Linked DNA regions of Notamacropus eugenii. Each later gene encodes a partner of the first gene's protein in a complex. Links are inferred from orthologs where the notes say so. Each region holds a gene or a part of one and is shown on either strand. Other genes may lie near its edges.

Region 1 (8,122 bases):
GCTATTTCTTTCATTTACACTATACTAAATAAGTCCCCTAAGGACTAAAGTCATACCTTATTATTTTGGGATCTTCCCTGGAGTCTAAAGCAATGCCTTGCACATAAATCAGAATGATAAGACTGTTTCATCAGTTGGAAGAATCCTGAGAGACCATCTAGTCCAGATCTTTTATTTCAAAGACAATCAAGCCAACAAAAGGGACTCGAATTTGTCAAGGTCCTACGGTGAGTTAGAACTGGAACTCACAGTATTTGCAAAATGAACGAATAAATGATGATATGTTCTAGTCTCATGGGAAGCATTCTGCAAACTTTAAAGCACTATAGGATATTAGCCATTTATTATGATGATCACTTGCTTTTGCCTGCAAACACTTAGCAGAAGATGGTATCTCACTTTGAAAGTGGTTCAAAGAATTAAGCTGAAACCAGTTATTATATTCTCAGACTTTTAAATCCAAAACTTCATAGTAAAAGACCCATACTGCTTCCTAACAAGCCCAGTGCTTTCTTCCCAAATCACGCATCTCTTCTTGAGATTGCAACCTGGACAGACCAAGCAGGCCCTAGTGATCCATCCTCTAGGTGACAAATTTTGAAATTCTCCCAGGTTTTCTGATAATAATGTTACACTCAATCTGCATAGGATCACAGGATCACACAGGCATAGAAGAAGAAGAAGCTTCAGGGGTCATTAGTGAAGCCCCTATCCCTGTTTACAGATGAGGATATGGAAGTATAGAGAGCCTATGAGATTTACCTACATAGGCAACAAATAAGAAGCAGAACCAGGATCTGGGGAACCTGAGCCCTTGTAATTCTCCATCCAGCATTCTTTGTCACAACCCCAAGCAACTTCCTTTGATTTCAGAAAGCAAGAAACCATCCCAGAAAATTCTAGTCCCTGAAGAAACCAAAAATATATGGCTCTTATAAACAGGTAGGATATGGAGCATATGATAGAGAGAATTTGTTGGCATGTCCTTATCTCTGACCCAAAAACAGGCATCTGAGAAGCATTGTGGTCCTAGAGGGAGGGCCAATCCGTGGCTATGAAGCTGCTCTGCTCAGTACAGAGCTAACTGGTCAGGAAGGGGATGGAACTCCCAGCTTTAACCTCATTAGCACCACATGAATTAATGGGCCCAGTCTCTCCACAAATACAGATGAATAGATTACAAATGCTTCCCACTCCTTTAGCACTCTGGAGAATTTTATCAACAGGAAACAAAAGCGCTACACCTCTTTAATGAAGTGTCTGATTTTTTTTTTCTTTTCAAATTAGAAAAACCCAAAGACTGTAGCCCAGGGAACAGCTAAATATTTAGACTGTTACATGAGTTACCAAGACCCATCCACCCCCTGTGGCCCTGTTTTTTGACCATTTAAGAAGAAAACTTCAGATGGGCAAGCTTACAGTTGTATGGATGTATGTACACAGTATGAGCCTCCCTCCACTAACGCATCTCAAGCCAATCTGGAAAAGCTGGCGGGCCTGTGTTTATAGCAGAAACCCTGGCCCCAACTCACATCCCACAGCAGGCACTACAACAGCATTAACTTATTGAATCCTTTGACATGTGCTTGGCTTCAGGCCATCTGCTGAGTGCTGATATTTTCCCCTTCATGTCTAGATTTGACATAGTTTTACAATATAAATAAACAAACCCAATCAGCTGTGATTATTTCATTTACCCAAAGACAATCCTTTCTTCCCATCCAATCCTAAACTGACAAGCACATATTCACTTGGTAGAAAGTTATTTTTGAGGCAGTTAATTTTGCTTATATGTTTGGCAGATGAAACACAGTATAACTTTGAAAATTTAAATCACATGCACACCACCTAACAAGTCAGATTTTCTTTTCTTCCTCCATTTAATGCCTTCTACCTTCTTACAGATCTTTGATTTGCCCACTGCAATTGTGACTCTGGGTGCTGGAGTAGTGATTGATTCCCTAAGGCAACTCAACTACCCCATGCCATGAGTGTGCTCCACACAACTGTCAGCAAGGTGAACAGTCAATACCAGCCTAAGCCCCACAGTCTTTTCTCCTCCTTCATCCCATTTCTAACAGCTTTAAGGGCCAGGGGGCAGTTAGGAAGCAAAGCTCATTACTAATTGCACTCACCTGTCACAGTAAGCCAGCAGTATCTACAGAACACCCAACCTGGGGTGGTGCGGCTCCTGCTCCACTGGGTCGGCGCCTGAGTTAAGAAAAAAAAAAAAGGAAGAAAAATGACTCATTACAAGGGCCACAGAATGTCAGTTCTTGCGGTGTCTGTTCAAGACGACACCAAGAAAGATCTCTTAGCTCAGGTGACCTCCGACAAACTTGATTGCTCCGACCCTCCACGATTCCGCTTCAGCCCAGATCTAAAACCTGAAGGGAATTTCTCTGTTCCAGGCACGCACTCCATAAAGGCGACAGATAACACTCTAGGTCTCGCATCTCCGCAATATTCAAACAGTTCAGGGGGAAAAGTGTGAGCAGATCCCCAAGCACTTGTTTGCTGCAGGAGAAGGGGATGGCATCCTTTGCGATGCTGGGCATCCTCCGCCGGCTTCCCAAACACAAACAGGCTACGTTCCCAAACCTCATGTGTTCGGGCCCCCGTTTTCACCTTTCCCAGCCCCCCAACCCGGGCACCACGGGCACCCCACAGACCTGGGTTTTCCCAAAGCGTGCAGCCGGAGGATTTTTTTCCCAAGATTGTTTCCTCAAGGAGATACACTCGCGCATTGCCTTGCCCCCTCCACACTCTCACCCCCGGACCTATTTCCTGCCACTGGTTCCTAGCTCCTAACTTGGGGCTGGGAGAGGGAGCGGGACCGAACCCTCCAGTTGTTCTGGCTAGCGGAGGGGGGACCTATATGCCAAGGGGGTAGGGGGGCAGATCGCTGACAAGGGCACTCCAGCTGTGTGCCAGCAGCCCCGAACCCTGCGGAGCCCCGAGCGCCGGGGAGGGCGGAGCAGAAAAGTTCTGCTCCGTCTCCCTCGGCCACTTCCCTGCACGCTGGCCGCTGTCCCCCGGCCCGAGACCGTACCTCGTCGCCCCCAGGAGAGGTGCCCGCTTCGCTTCGGGAGCCGGGCTCGGAGAGCGTTAGCAGCTACTTTGTCATTCCATGTCCCCGCAGCTGGAGCTCGGTCCCGTTAGGATGGACGCGGGCTCGCCACCCTCCTGCGTCTCGTCCCGTCCCGTCCCGTGCCGTGCCGTCGGGTGCCTCGCCTTTCTCTCGCTCCGTCCACCTCCCCTCTGCTCCTCCTCCGGCCGCTGCTTCTCCTCCTCCCCCTCCTTCTTCTTCTTCTCCTCCGCCACCTCCACCACCACCTCCTCCTCCTCCTCCTCCCACCCCTGTGAGTTGCAGGAAACGGTTCAGCAGAACATCCACATGGTTACTGCACTTGGGCTCCGCTTCGCCGCGGCTTATATACCCCTCGTGGCTCCCTGGGCAATGTAGTCCAAGTCAAGGGTCTCGCAGGCGCCTCCGGCGGTGAAACAAAACTACAATTCCCAGAATGCCTCGGGTTTCCCGGGCTGAGGTTCCAAATAGTCTCCCTGGCTTTGGGGCATCTGGGGAACGGAGAGTTCTGGGGAAGCGAGAGCAGTGGGAGCTTTCTGGCTTGTCGGGGTCCGAGGGAGGGTCGTTTTGTGTGGTCTTCTAGGAACCAGACAGTTTCCCGACCCTGCCCTGGCAGGCTGGGCTGGGAGCCTTAAGGTCCGAGGCGGCGTGCCTCCAATCTCCCGGGCCCCTCCCCACCCCAGACCCTCGAAGGATAGCCTCTTAGGCAGCCTCTGGGCCGGGATTAGACTTATATTTTGGGAAGTTTTTGCTTTGTTTCATTTTAATGGGCTGTCAACTCCAGTTTGGGCCAATACACCCTGGCCAAGAACTTCAAAAATCCACCCAACGCACAAAAATGCCAGTGCAGTCGCTCCCCCGTTAGAAGGCGCGCTCCCCTGGAAAAGAGAACGAGGGGTTGGTTGGGTTGGTTGGTTGGTTTGGGGCGGGGGTCAGTCTTGCTTTTCTCTGTATCCCCAGGGCTTAGTGACTGCTGGATGCCAGCTCCGACTGAAGGATGAAGACCCAAGGTTGCCTTTAACTCCCAAACCCCAGCCCTGGAGTGGCATGTCAGCGATGGGACTTGCATGGGAGGCTGAGGGGGTCATCCGAGGGGGTCTACACGGGACGGACCTCGCGGAAGGGGCGCACATGGGGCACCGGGCACACACTGGCGAGTCCTTGGGGACTCTTCTACCTAGGGGCGGGCGGTATGAAAACTTGATTATCCGGGGCTAACCAATGAACGTTACGATTTGTTAATGAAGAGATTTGGAAGCGAATACACGCACGAGCGCGAACACTAGCATTCCAAACAAAATCAGAACCATCGAGGGCGACATGCAGCCCTGAAAGCACCTAAACTCGAAGCGTCGTTTTAAGTCTCTGACAAAGCAGCAGACTGGAGGGCAGGAGCTTGGAGCCAGAGGACTAATCTTCATTCCTCCTCTTACTTCCTGCCCCCCTCCAAAGCTTCTAAGCAGGGGGCTATAAACTAGCGGCTTGCGGGTTCGCTTTCAGCATTGATAACTGTTAAAACACACATTTGTTTTGTTTTCAAAGCAGGCCATTCTGCCCCAGGGTGATAGCACCCACGAAAGGTGCCCTCTGCCAATCAGTCAACCAACAAGAATCTATTACGTTCCTATCATGTGCGTGGCTCTGCGCTAGACGCTGGGGATTCAAGGACAAAAATGAAATAGCCCTTGTCCTCAAGGAGCTTCCATTCTATGGCGAAGGCAATACATATACAGGTACATAATACCGTGTCCCAAAAGTCTTAGTGCATATCCAAGCTATTAAAGTTTAAAGCTGAACTAAGACTTTTGGGACATACGGTGCAGTAAATAGAAAGCAAGACAATTTGGAGTGAGGCATTAAGGCATTAACTTGGGGGGGGGTGGCGTGGGGAGGGGGTATTGAGAAAAGCCTCTTGTTAAAGGTGGCCCTTGAACTGAGCTTTGAAAGAAGTGAAATTTTAAGAAGCCATGGATGGTAGTACATCCCAGACATGGGAAATAGTCAGTACAAGAATAGAGGGAGGACAGTGCCATGTCTGAAGGACAGAAGGAAGGACAATTTGGTGGCATGATGGAGCATCATGGGGAATAATAAAGAGTAAGACTGGACAGGTAAATGGGAACCAGTTTGTAAAATGTCAGAGGAGTTCTGGAAGGCTTTAAATGCCATCGGAGGACACTATATTGAGCCTTGGACACCTGGTAAATCACTCCAGGTTAAATCAGTTTGTTGGCTTGGTCAAGTCATTTTCTCACTACCTTAGATTAACCAAAGGAAAAACAACAGAAATCTACCCATATTGCATCGTTATAGGGCTTCAATGGAATTCACGTTGGTTTTAGGCATCTGTTTGACACTTCATGACCCCATGGACCATACCCTCTATGGGTTTTTCTTGAAAAAGATGCTTATGTGTCATTTTCTTCCCAGTAGATTAAGGCAAATAGAAGTTAAGTGATTTGCCTAAGATCACGCAGCTAATAAGTGTGTGAAGCTGTATTTGAATTCAAGTGTTCCTGTTTCCAAGCCCAGTACTCTATCCACGTAGCCATCTAGCTCCTCTATGATTTTAACATCACTGCAAATACAAGTAGAAGACCGGGGGAAGGAGAAGCAGCATCACTGACTGACTGTACACTTCATTCATCATTTTTGTAAAAAGCACCTGCTAGCCCACTTTATCGTAGAAAAAACTATAAAGTCCACAAAGTTTGTCATGTTCCTTTCCTTTTTTGTTTTCATTCCCTCCTTCCTTTTGAAACTACCTTCACTCTTTCAACTTTCCCCCTAGTTCCCGGTGCTTCTATGCTCCCCCCCAAGCTACCAGACTCCTTTTCCACCCCCAGTCCTACCTAGATCCCTTCTCCTCTGCAGCCCAAATCAATTCAACAAAAATTTATTAAACACTTATCACATGCACATTATTATATTAGATACTTCCCCTCCTTGGCAGTCCCCAGAGCTTAAATATATCTCATCTTTCTCTTCCCTAGTATCACTTCACCAGGTGAGAATTTGCTTGTCTCATCACCTAAGGTCCTGCTTCTCTATTTTTAAAGGTGGCAATGGTAGGCCACAATAAGAGTTTTATGCATCATCCTTTCCAGGCATTTTAGTAAGGGTTTGGGGGAGAAACATTAACCCAAACAAATTACTCTAATGGCCAGAATTTCAGGCAAGTGGCAGAATGATAGAAGAAATTTCAGGGGTGGGAGAAAGGGGTCAGTTGGTACCTTTCAAGTCACAACCTAAAAGTGATTGGCCCAGTTTGACATCACTAACCCTGGAGTCTGACAGCTACCAAAAAAATTTATCTACCAAGATCGTTCTGATATAATCAGAGTGAGAGTGTTTTGCCCATCCCTAATCTGTGAAGAGAAGGAAGTTTTAGTTTTTGCCAAAGGCCCTCATCTTCCTTGACCTCCTTTGTAGCATCTGACTGCAGCTAACACCTACTTCTGGGTTTCAAAGACCTCTCATTCATCTGACTGGGCTCTTTCTCCCCGCTTTGCTAATTCCTTTACTTTTTAAGATCATTGTTCCCCCAAGGCTCCATCTTTGATCCTCTTCCCTTTTCTCCCTCTACTCTCTCTGTTGGCAATCTTATTCATTCCTAGGGCCTCACTCTGATTCCTATGCAGATGGTTCCTAGCCTGACCCCAGTGATGAACTCCAGACCCACATTTCCAATGACTGGTGGCTCAGCTTTACCTGGATGTTCCACAGCAACTCAAAATCAAATGTGCTACCCAAGAGACAGGGTACAGATGCAGACCTGGCCCAGACCTTGATCCCTAGCCAGAACTGTATGCTCTAACTGCCTATTGAGCACATCTTTTCCTAGATGAGTAATAACCACCTCAAATATAACATGTTCAAAGTCAAGCTAATCTTTCCCTTTAAATTTTCTTTTCCTTCTAATAATGGGCTTGATTACAGATCGAGATGGAAGCAAACTCAAAAGTGATCTAGCTCAACCCCCACATTTTGCAGAATAGGAAAGAGAAGTGAAATGACTTGCCCAAGGTAATACAAATAGTGAATATCAGAGGTAGAGTCTGGATCCAGGTCTTTTGACTCTAGAGACCCAAGATCTTTTCACTGTGCCATACTGTTTACCTGAGGCCAGGAACTCAGCTCAATTATAATGTCAAATCATTCTACAGAACAGAACATAGGCTCAGACATTTAGAGTTGAAAAGGACCCCGCAGGCCATCTAGAGTAATCCCCTTAATTTACAGATGACACAAGTGAGGCCCAGAGAGGTCAAACAACTTGCCCAAGGCTACACAAATCTTCAGTGCCTTTGCTATTTTCATGGTTAGCTGCATCGGATCTCTGCTTGAAAACGTGCTGTCTTTGACTAATTCTTTTTCTTCAATAAACATATCACACTGGTTATGATCAATAAGCATTTATTAAGCACCTACGATATACCAGTTTGTCCTTAAATTTCCTTTCTACTAGTGTATGCAGTACACCTGTCACATATGGTATTTATTGTCTGCATGATCTTGGCAAGAACTTTTTCTCCCTGGACCGTAGTTTCTCCCTCTATAAAATACAAAATGATACATTCTATAGAGGGAGATAACATATGTGTGTGTATGTATGCATACATACATAAACACATATATACTTACTTATATCTACATATATAGAGATATACAACATATATCCTTACATTTATGTATAGGGGATAGGGACCTGTAATTTCCTTGGTATTTCTTTGCTGAATTGAATATAAGAAGGTGAAATCAGAGCACTCTGAGATGTTATTGTTTGTCCTTCCTTTCCAAAGAGGACCAGTGACATTGTGGGACGTTGCCTTGACTTGTGCATGAATTGGATTCAAGTGAAGCCGACTTGCACAAAGTCATCCGCCTCACTCTCTCTTCTAGAGTCATCAAAGTTCAGTGGAAAGACAAAAATCAAGACAACTGGCAGTAGACTGAGAAATACTATCCTATTTATTCCTCACAACAACCTTAGGAAATAGATACCGTTATCATCTCCCTTTTACAGATGAAGAA
Region 2 (7,754 bases), on another chromosome or scaffold:
TTATTCTTTCAATCCCCTTAACCAAACTTGAGTGCCCCTATTCCCTGATTCTTCCCTTCTCATCCCTTCTTGAGCATGGGTCTTGACAGAGGACCTAATGCAGAAGGCCTGAGCACAGAAGCATCATTTGAGGTCATACCAACCACTGGGTTTCACTGTGCATGTCCTAATTCTGCAGCCTTCCCATTCCTCTTTCCCTGTCTCTCCCTAGGGTTCTCTCTGTGTGTGTGTGTGTTAGTATGCAAGGATAGCTATGTGTCTGGCCATCTTTCTGGGGCTTGTTTTTCTCTACCTTCTCCATCTCCAGTCCTCTGTAACTACATCTCCGGATCTCAGAGTTGAGAAGATCCTGAGAAGTCATTTCCAGTCTTTCAACCAGGAATTCCATAGATGGCTGATAGCTTCTAAGACAGGTGATCCTATGGCAATGCTGGGTTTTGAGGTGTGTTTGTGTGTGTGTGTGTGTGTGTTTGTGTGTGTGTGTGTGAGAGAGAGAGAGACTAACAGACAGAGTATGTAGACATGGTGCCATCATGATCTCACTAGGCTAAACAAGTCCTCTGGCTATCTCAACACCCACTTTGGCCACTAACCTCCCAGGTCCTCCCCCAAGGCTTCTGGACCTGGATAGAGGGAGTAAGAGGGTTGGAAGTAGAAAGCCTGCCCTGAGCACTGCCCCCTTAGTCTCCAACATGCCAGCAGGGGGTGCCCAGTGCCTGATCTGCCCCTGGCAGGGCAGTGGGGTAAGGAGGAGGGGGAGGAAGGATTGGGCCAGATTCCCACAAGAGGGGAGGGGCCTAGCTCTCCATTCTTCCTACTCACCTGGCCTGAGGAGCATCCGTTGCCAGCCTGTACAACGGCCCCTCCCTCTGGTCCCCCAGCCCCCACTTCTCCTCCAGCTCCGGTTTGCTTTATAAAGCAAACCAGCCCTTATATAGAGCTTGGGCCTCCCTGCCCAGCTTCCCCCAGAGCATCCTTATATGGAGAGGCTGCTCTGCCGGGTGCTCCAGGGAGAGAGGGGGTAGTCTGGAGCTGGGTCCCAGTGGGGGATGGGCAGTCCAAGTTCTCCCCCCTCCCCCTCTCTCCCAATTCTGTTATACAGGGAAGAGAGGGGGAGGGGGGAAGACCCCTTATTCCCTGGGGAATCTCCGTTTTCTTGTCTGAGAAGGGAGGAAGTTTAGACAAAATAATTTCTAAGATCCTTTCCTGCTGGTCTGGGATTTTAAAATTCTCCCACCCAGCTAAGACATCAGCCCCACCAGCCAAGATCAATCCTCCTCCCCCCATCCAAGTTTCTTTCTCCAAAGAACTGAGCTTTTCCATCAGAAAAGGAGACAGGGGCTATCAGGAAGAGTGCTGCTCTGTGAGGTTATTTGAGACCCAGGAAGAAAGGTTCCTGGGGGATTTGGAGGATAAACAGGAGTCTACAATGATTGGAAGTCAGTCTGAACTTCTTAAGCCTCCCATGTTCTCTTGTTGGGGGATGGGGTGGAGATGATTCCTGCTAGCCATCATTATCAACAGGTTGGCCTTTCTGGGTATTCCCAGCCACCTGTCATCAAAAACATAGCCAGTCTGTTCTCCTGGGAGTCCAGAACAGGAAAAGCTCAAGCAGGTGACAAGGTGATCTACCTCCTTGGGAGTTTTCTAACCCAGAGCTCTAGAAGAGTTCATGATAACAGTTCAGAACCAAGTATCCAAATAGTCCCAATGCCTCCTAATATCTTCTTGCCTTTTCATTGTCACTCAGAACCTCTGAGATTCAGCTTTGCTCCCCATGTTGGGGTTCGGGGGTCCAGGACTTAATATCTGTCTGATGAGGGATAGTGGAAGAGTTAAAATTTCTCAGTTACTGGTCAAGGCATCTCCCTGCAGGTGGCCCTGGAGCTGAGGGATGCCCTCAGCTGGGGCTGATGGGGGATGCTGAGGGAAAGGATCCTGCCTCTCCTGGACCATTAGTTGTTTGGTACCTCTCCTCCCATGGGGAATCTATCCCCTTCTTCCTTCTTTCACCCACCATACTCTTTAAGATTAACCTTATACAAGAGAATGGGTGTGAAAAGCTGAACTACAGGGTACAAAGTAGGGCACAAAATCCTGTCCTCAGGGGGTAAGGGCTTCTAGGGAGGAGATATTCCCAAGAGGAGTGTTATGAGATTGGTGTTTGAGCAAATCCGGACTCCCTCAAAAGGCCTACTCAGCTGAGGCCCTCTCTCCCTCAGGCACCAGGACCCACCCCACAACCTAGACCCCTCAGACATGTCTTGGACTTCCTGTTCCACTAACCTCTCTTCTCTATCCCCTCCTTCTTACTGCCCATCCAAACTTTCTTTCTCCAGACTCTGGCCCTCTCCCCTGCACCCTTTTCCTGCTCCAGTCCTTCGACGCCTAGGCCTTTGACCCTTCAATCTCTGTCTCCTGTTCCCCTCTGCCCATTCTGCCCTTTCTCCTTCCCCTCCAATCCTTCTCCCCTGACCCTTCCACCCCTCCATCTTCCATCTTGTCCCTTCCACCTTCCAAACCCTCTCCTTTCCTCTCCTCTTCGTCTCACTCAGATCTCATCACTGTTGGGGAGCCCCCATTACTCCTCACTGGCAGGTTTTGGACCAGAAACTTCAGAAGCTAGTGAATGGTGCGGGTAGTTCATTTGGGTGTGGGTAGAAAGATCCAGGGCTTGAGCTGGACAAGAATGACCCTCATTTGGTCTTCAGGACAGTGGCCCTCGTTCCCTGGTCTAGGCCTGGCTCCCTGGATTAGTCTCCTTATTATCCTTCCCTCCAGGTGCCTAGAACCAGAGCGAGTGATGGGGCTGGGGAGTACTGAAGGAGGAGGAAGAAACTCAGAGCCTGGAAGGCAGGAGGTGGGCCTGGGACATGACATTTCTCCCTTGGAGGCTAAGGACTAAGAATCCTACCCTGGGTAAACTGAGCGAGATGATAGAGTTAAGGTAATTACCTTGTTCTTGACCTCAGCCGACAGTCCATAAGCAGGGCCCCGGTTGAAGTGAGCAGTAGACATCCTGGTGGTGCTGCTGCCGGTGGAGGGGAGCCTGGCCTGGGTTTCTCCTGGTGCCTGTCTGCTGCTGCTGCTGCTGCTGCTGAAGTGGCCTCAAATTTTCCCTGCAACTTTTTGAAAGCTGGAACTCTGGGCTTCCCCATATGAGCCCTGGCTGGTTGTCTCATTGGGCCAGAGGACCCACCAATGGCTGAGAAGCAATCCCCCCCTCCCCTTCCCCCACGTCAGCCAGTCCCCCCTCCCCCACCCCACCCCCCTCCCCCAACCCCGTGATGTCAGGCCCCTGGTATTGGGAGCCGATGCAGTCATTGTTTCCACCTTGGTGGGGGGAGGGATGTTGGAGGGGAGGGGAGGCCCGGCTATAGTCATTCTTAGCCCAGAAAGGGGGGTGGGGGGAGTGTGGAAGAGTAACCAGCTGAGAATTCCTGGGGAGGACCTAGCCATTTGGAGACGGGAATAGGGCTGGGGACAGGGACAGTCTGAGACAACAGGCACCATCCCCCCCATAGGCTGGGTTAACCCTATGGATTGCCCATGTCTGGCACTCTGTACTGGGTTTCTGTGTCTATTTGTCTCTCTCTGTGACCGTTCCAGAGATGGAGGTCACTTTATAGTGAGAGACAGAGATGAACTCAGAGATAAACGCTGTCAAAGACTGTCTCTGGGGCAGTTAAGTCCCACCCGAATTTATTAAGCACCTATTCAACATCTTTCCTGCGTTCTAGAAGCTTTGTCTTAGTTGATGAGTTTATATCTCTCTCAATCCCTGTTTTCTCCTGATTCTCTTTCTGTCCCTTTCCTCCTTTTATTCATCCTCCACCCTTTGGGGTTCGAGGACTAAGACCTTCCCATCATTGCCTTCAATTCCTGGGCATCTGTGGATCAGCAGAAAGGGTAAGGGGGAGAATAGGGGAGTAATTGGCCCAAGTCAAGACCCAGGCTCTTTAGGGCCAATTTGGCTTCTGAGTCTTGGGTCCCCCTCAGGCTTCCTGGAAGCTTTCAGCACCCTGGGAGATGGGATGGGGAGGGGACTTTATGTGGTCCCCCCTCCACCTTATAAGGCTCTCCTTTTTCTGCAGAAACACTTGTGGTTTTTTTCCCCTTGGGCAGCTTTTCTCCCCTTCTGGGAATCCTGCCCTTGCATTGGAGAAGGGGGGATGGGAAGCCATGAGTGTTCAGAACAAGGAGAGGGAACTTTCCCTCCAAAGGGATCACCAAGGGAGAGTAGTGGGGTACAGTAGGAAGAACCCTGAATTTGGAGTTGGTCTCCATCCAAATCCCAGCTCTGGCACTGATTAAGCATGAGACTTGGGGCGTGTTACCTCCTTTAGCCTTAGTTTTTCCATCTGTAAATGAAATAGTTGGACTAAAATAGGGTTCTTAGCTTTTTTGTGAGTCATGGACCCCCTTGGCAGTCTGGTGAAGCCTGTGTGTGGACCTCTTCTAAAAATCCTGTTTTGAAATGCATAAAACAAGTACGTAGGGCTACAAAGCAAGCTAAATCCTATTGGAAAACATTTCTCAAAATATCTAAAAACAAGTCCAGGGAATCCTAGGTGAGGAATCCCTAGGTGAGGTCACTAAATTATCTCTAAGGCCACTCCCAACTCTTAGTACTGTGCAAAAGAATGAGAATGAGCCGAAGGAAGGAACTTGGATCGTGTACCAGGGTAAAAGGCTATTCAATCTAAATCCCTTGGACATGATGTCTGTGGGTGACTAACACAGCGTCAGCGTCAGGGCTGTGGGCCATCCTCTCCTCCCTCTCTTCTTTTTGTTGTATGCTTCACCATTTATAGAATGGACCTCTTCAGCTCTGAAGTCACCATCAGCCTGGCTTGGAGGATGTGATCCCTTGAGGCCCCTACTGCCACTACCCCTGGAAAGGCCCACTTTGAGGCCCTCCAGAGTGTCCACCCCCCCTCAGGGAAACCAAGGCCCCCAACCCCAGGACAAAATTGTCTCTTCTTCTACCATGATTGTGGATTCCCTTGCCTCCCAATCGGTCTTCATCTTTAATGAGGATTAGTGGAGGGGGGTTTAGGGATTTCAGCATAATCTGATAAAGCTCTATGAACACTGGGTATAGAGGCCATGTTAGAAAACCTGGAAGACAGCCCTAATTGGTGGGTAGGATGAGAGGTCTTTTGTAGATGTTCACAAGCCTCCCTCTCCACCTGTTTTCTTTTTGGTACAATGGGAAGATGACTGATAGGAAGGGAGAAGAGTGCTAAGTGCTTCCAGTTATGATAATGGGGAGTGGGATGCTGGGAAGGTTGGAGTGATTCACCATCAATGTACATTTAGAACATCTGAGTAATGACCCTCCTTCAGCAATAGGCATTGTCACTTCCATACCACCCCCACTAAGGAACAGGTGGTCACCCTGTCATGGAGTAAGAGGTTTTATCATCTCTTTATAAAGCGATGAATGGGCAAACACACACACACACACACATCCCTCTTGTCTTTGGTTCTAAAAGGGCTCATTACATTGTTCCCAGGCAAGGAGAAAGAAAGAGGTGACAAGCTGGGGTCACAGATCAGACCAGCTAGAAGGGCCCAGGCCTTGCCCCCAAGTCTAGAACTGTAAGCTACTTACTTCATTACCTTTATGGCTTGAGGATAGACGAGTCACCTAACCTCTCTCTGGGCCTCAGTTTCTCCACCTGCAAAATGATCCAACAAGCATTTATTTGTGAAGGGCACTATGGTAGGACCTGGGGACACCAATTCAAAATGGAAACAAGTTCCTGGCCTCAGAGAGCTTATATTCTAGTTGGGGAATGAGCTCTAATTTTTTTTCTATTTGAAATTTTATCTAACTTTAAATTCTTCTTCACCTCTCTCTGTTGACATGTGTGATATTTATGTTGTCCAACTCATAATTTTTAAAACTGCAAGGGACCTTAGCAATCACATAACATAGTCTGATCCCTTCAGTTTCATTTCTTTTTTTGGTTTGTTTATTTGTTTGTTTTAGTCTGGACCTGTGATTTCACTGTGATAGGAAACTGTCAGTATGGAAACTTCTCCCATTGATAGAGGTCTGCAATTCATCCCCTACTTACCGTCTAAGAGGGTCACCAAAAGGTTAACAGATTCACCTATGACCACACAGCTGGTCTAAGACTGGACTGGAATCCAGGTCTTTCCTGACTCTAAGACCCATTCTCTATCTCTTAAGAGTTTAGTTGTCTTGCAGCAAGATCACCTAGTTTGCAAGTAGCAATGTCACTATTTGAACCCAGAACCCGTGTAAGCTCCTCAAAAGCAGAGTCTAAGTAATATTTATAGTTGTGTCCCCTCCAGGACCCTTCCCCTACCCCCAATCTCTTTAAACAGACTTGGTCTGATCTTGGGGCCTGGCCCAAATATTCTCCTTTTCCCAGAGTTTACTCCAGGAAATCTCTGAATACCATTTAGGTCTACAAATGGTATATAAAAGGCTCCTCAGATCCCCTACAAGTATTAAAGGTGGCAAATGCATTTAACCAGTGTAGAGTAGTCTTTATTTTATCCCTCAATAAGACATGCAGAATGCAGAGAATACAAAGGACTCAGGAGCCCATAAACAAGTTCAGAACACACATTAAACCACTCATAATAGCTCATAAACTATCAAAAGAATTTTTTTCCACCAGGGTCCTAAATTCCTCCATACCAGAAGCTCCTGCCTGTGGTTTAGACTCCAAAGGAATATTTAGTTGAGGTCCCTGGTGGGGTTACCCTACAATATTCAGGTGTGTCCCTCTTCCCACAGGAGAGAATGTATTATCCTTCCCCTAGCTCCCCAGATTCATTGGACCATCTTTGCTTTCTGTGTAGATTTTTTTCTGGACCTAGTAGTCTTAGACTATTCCCCCTGGAAGGGAAATTTGGTGCTGTTGGATCACTTGACTTTCCAGATGACCTTCACTGTCTGCATAGCTACCTTTAATAGCAGAGTACAAATTCCAGGCCCTTTGGTCCTCTATATTGTGGCTTTTGGTCCCTTGCCACTGTTCTGCCCAGTACCAGTAGCCAGATTCATGATCCTCTTCTCTGTCTCTAAGGCTCTGTCTTAAGGCTAGATTCTAGGACTCTTCTTATGCTTGGGTTTGCTGCAAAGGTAACCTCTAATACTGGTATTGCCCAGGAAATCTCTCTTCTCTGGCTAGGACAGATTTCTGAATTATGCCTGTGAAATTCCCCTCCCCGCCCCCCCACCTTCTACAACTAAAGGCAAAGGTCCAGAAACAACTTGATCTGGGAACTTCCCTTTCAGGCTACTCAGGCAAGAATATGTCTGCCTTGCCATGTGCTTCTGCAAAGCTGCTCTTAGGTAGCAACTATTGTGCTTTCCAGAACGTCCCAGAAGAAAAGGGAAGGAAAAGAGGTGTGATGACTATCTTTTAAGGATCTTCCCATAAGAGTCTAATTGCTCCAGGCAGAACTAATCTGTCACAGTGTCATTCCCCATCAATTAAACAGATCCTTCATCAAACCAATGAAGTCTTCATGGAAGTAGGCCGAGCCTTGCAGACTTAATCAGTTGAATTTAGCGTTCTCAACAAAGTTCCAGTGGATATATTCTTCACTCTTTCTAGAAAAATGCAATCAAGAAGTTGAAAAGTTCATCTTGGTTAAAAATTTCCTTTATCAACTCCCTGCATTGGTGTTTCTAGCTCCTAGCACTATGTCTTACACATAGGAGATGCTAAATATGTGACCCCTTTTATCCCTTGTGGCCCTTTTCC

The links.
Region 2: ITPR1 (region 1) and CNN1 share a complex: the UniProt entries of both Homo sapiens proteins name them as parts of the cGMP kinase signaling complex. The link is inferred for Notamacropus eugenii from reciprocal best matches to the Homo sapiens genes ITPR1 and CNN1.

The regions. Positions count from the first base shown.
Region 1 is NC_092874.1:441,491,237-441,499,358, forward strand, and holds the start of ITPR1 (inositol 1,4,5-trisphosphate-gated calcium channel ITPR1), read right to left. Parts: upstream 3,233-8,122; 5' UTR 3,053-3,232; intron 2,212-3,052; 5' UTR 2,136-2,211; intron 1-2,135. UniProt on the Homo sapiens protein: Inositol 1,4,5-trisphosphate-gated calcium channel that, upon inositol 1,4,5-trisphosphate binding, mediates calcium release from the endoplasmic reticulum (ER).
Region 2 is NC_092875.1:78,383,232-78,390,985, forward strand, and holds the start of CNN1 (calponin-1), read right to left. Parts: upstream 3,133-7,754; 5' UTR 3,019-3,132; coding exon 2,956-3,018; intron 875-2,955; exon of another isoform or gene 823-874; intron 1-822. UniProt on the Homo sapiens protein: Thin filament-associated protein that is implicated in the regulation and modulation of smooth muscle contraction. It is capable of binding to actin, calmodulin and tropomyosin. The interaction of calponin with actin inhibits the actomyosin Mg-ATPase activity.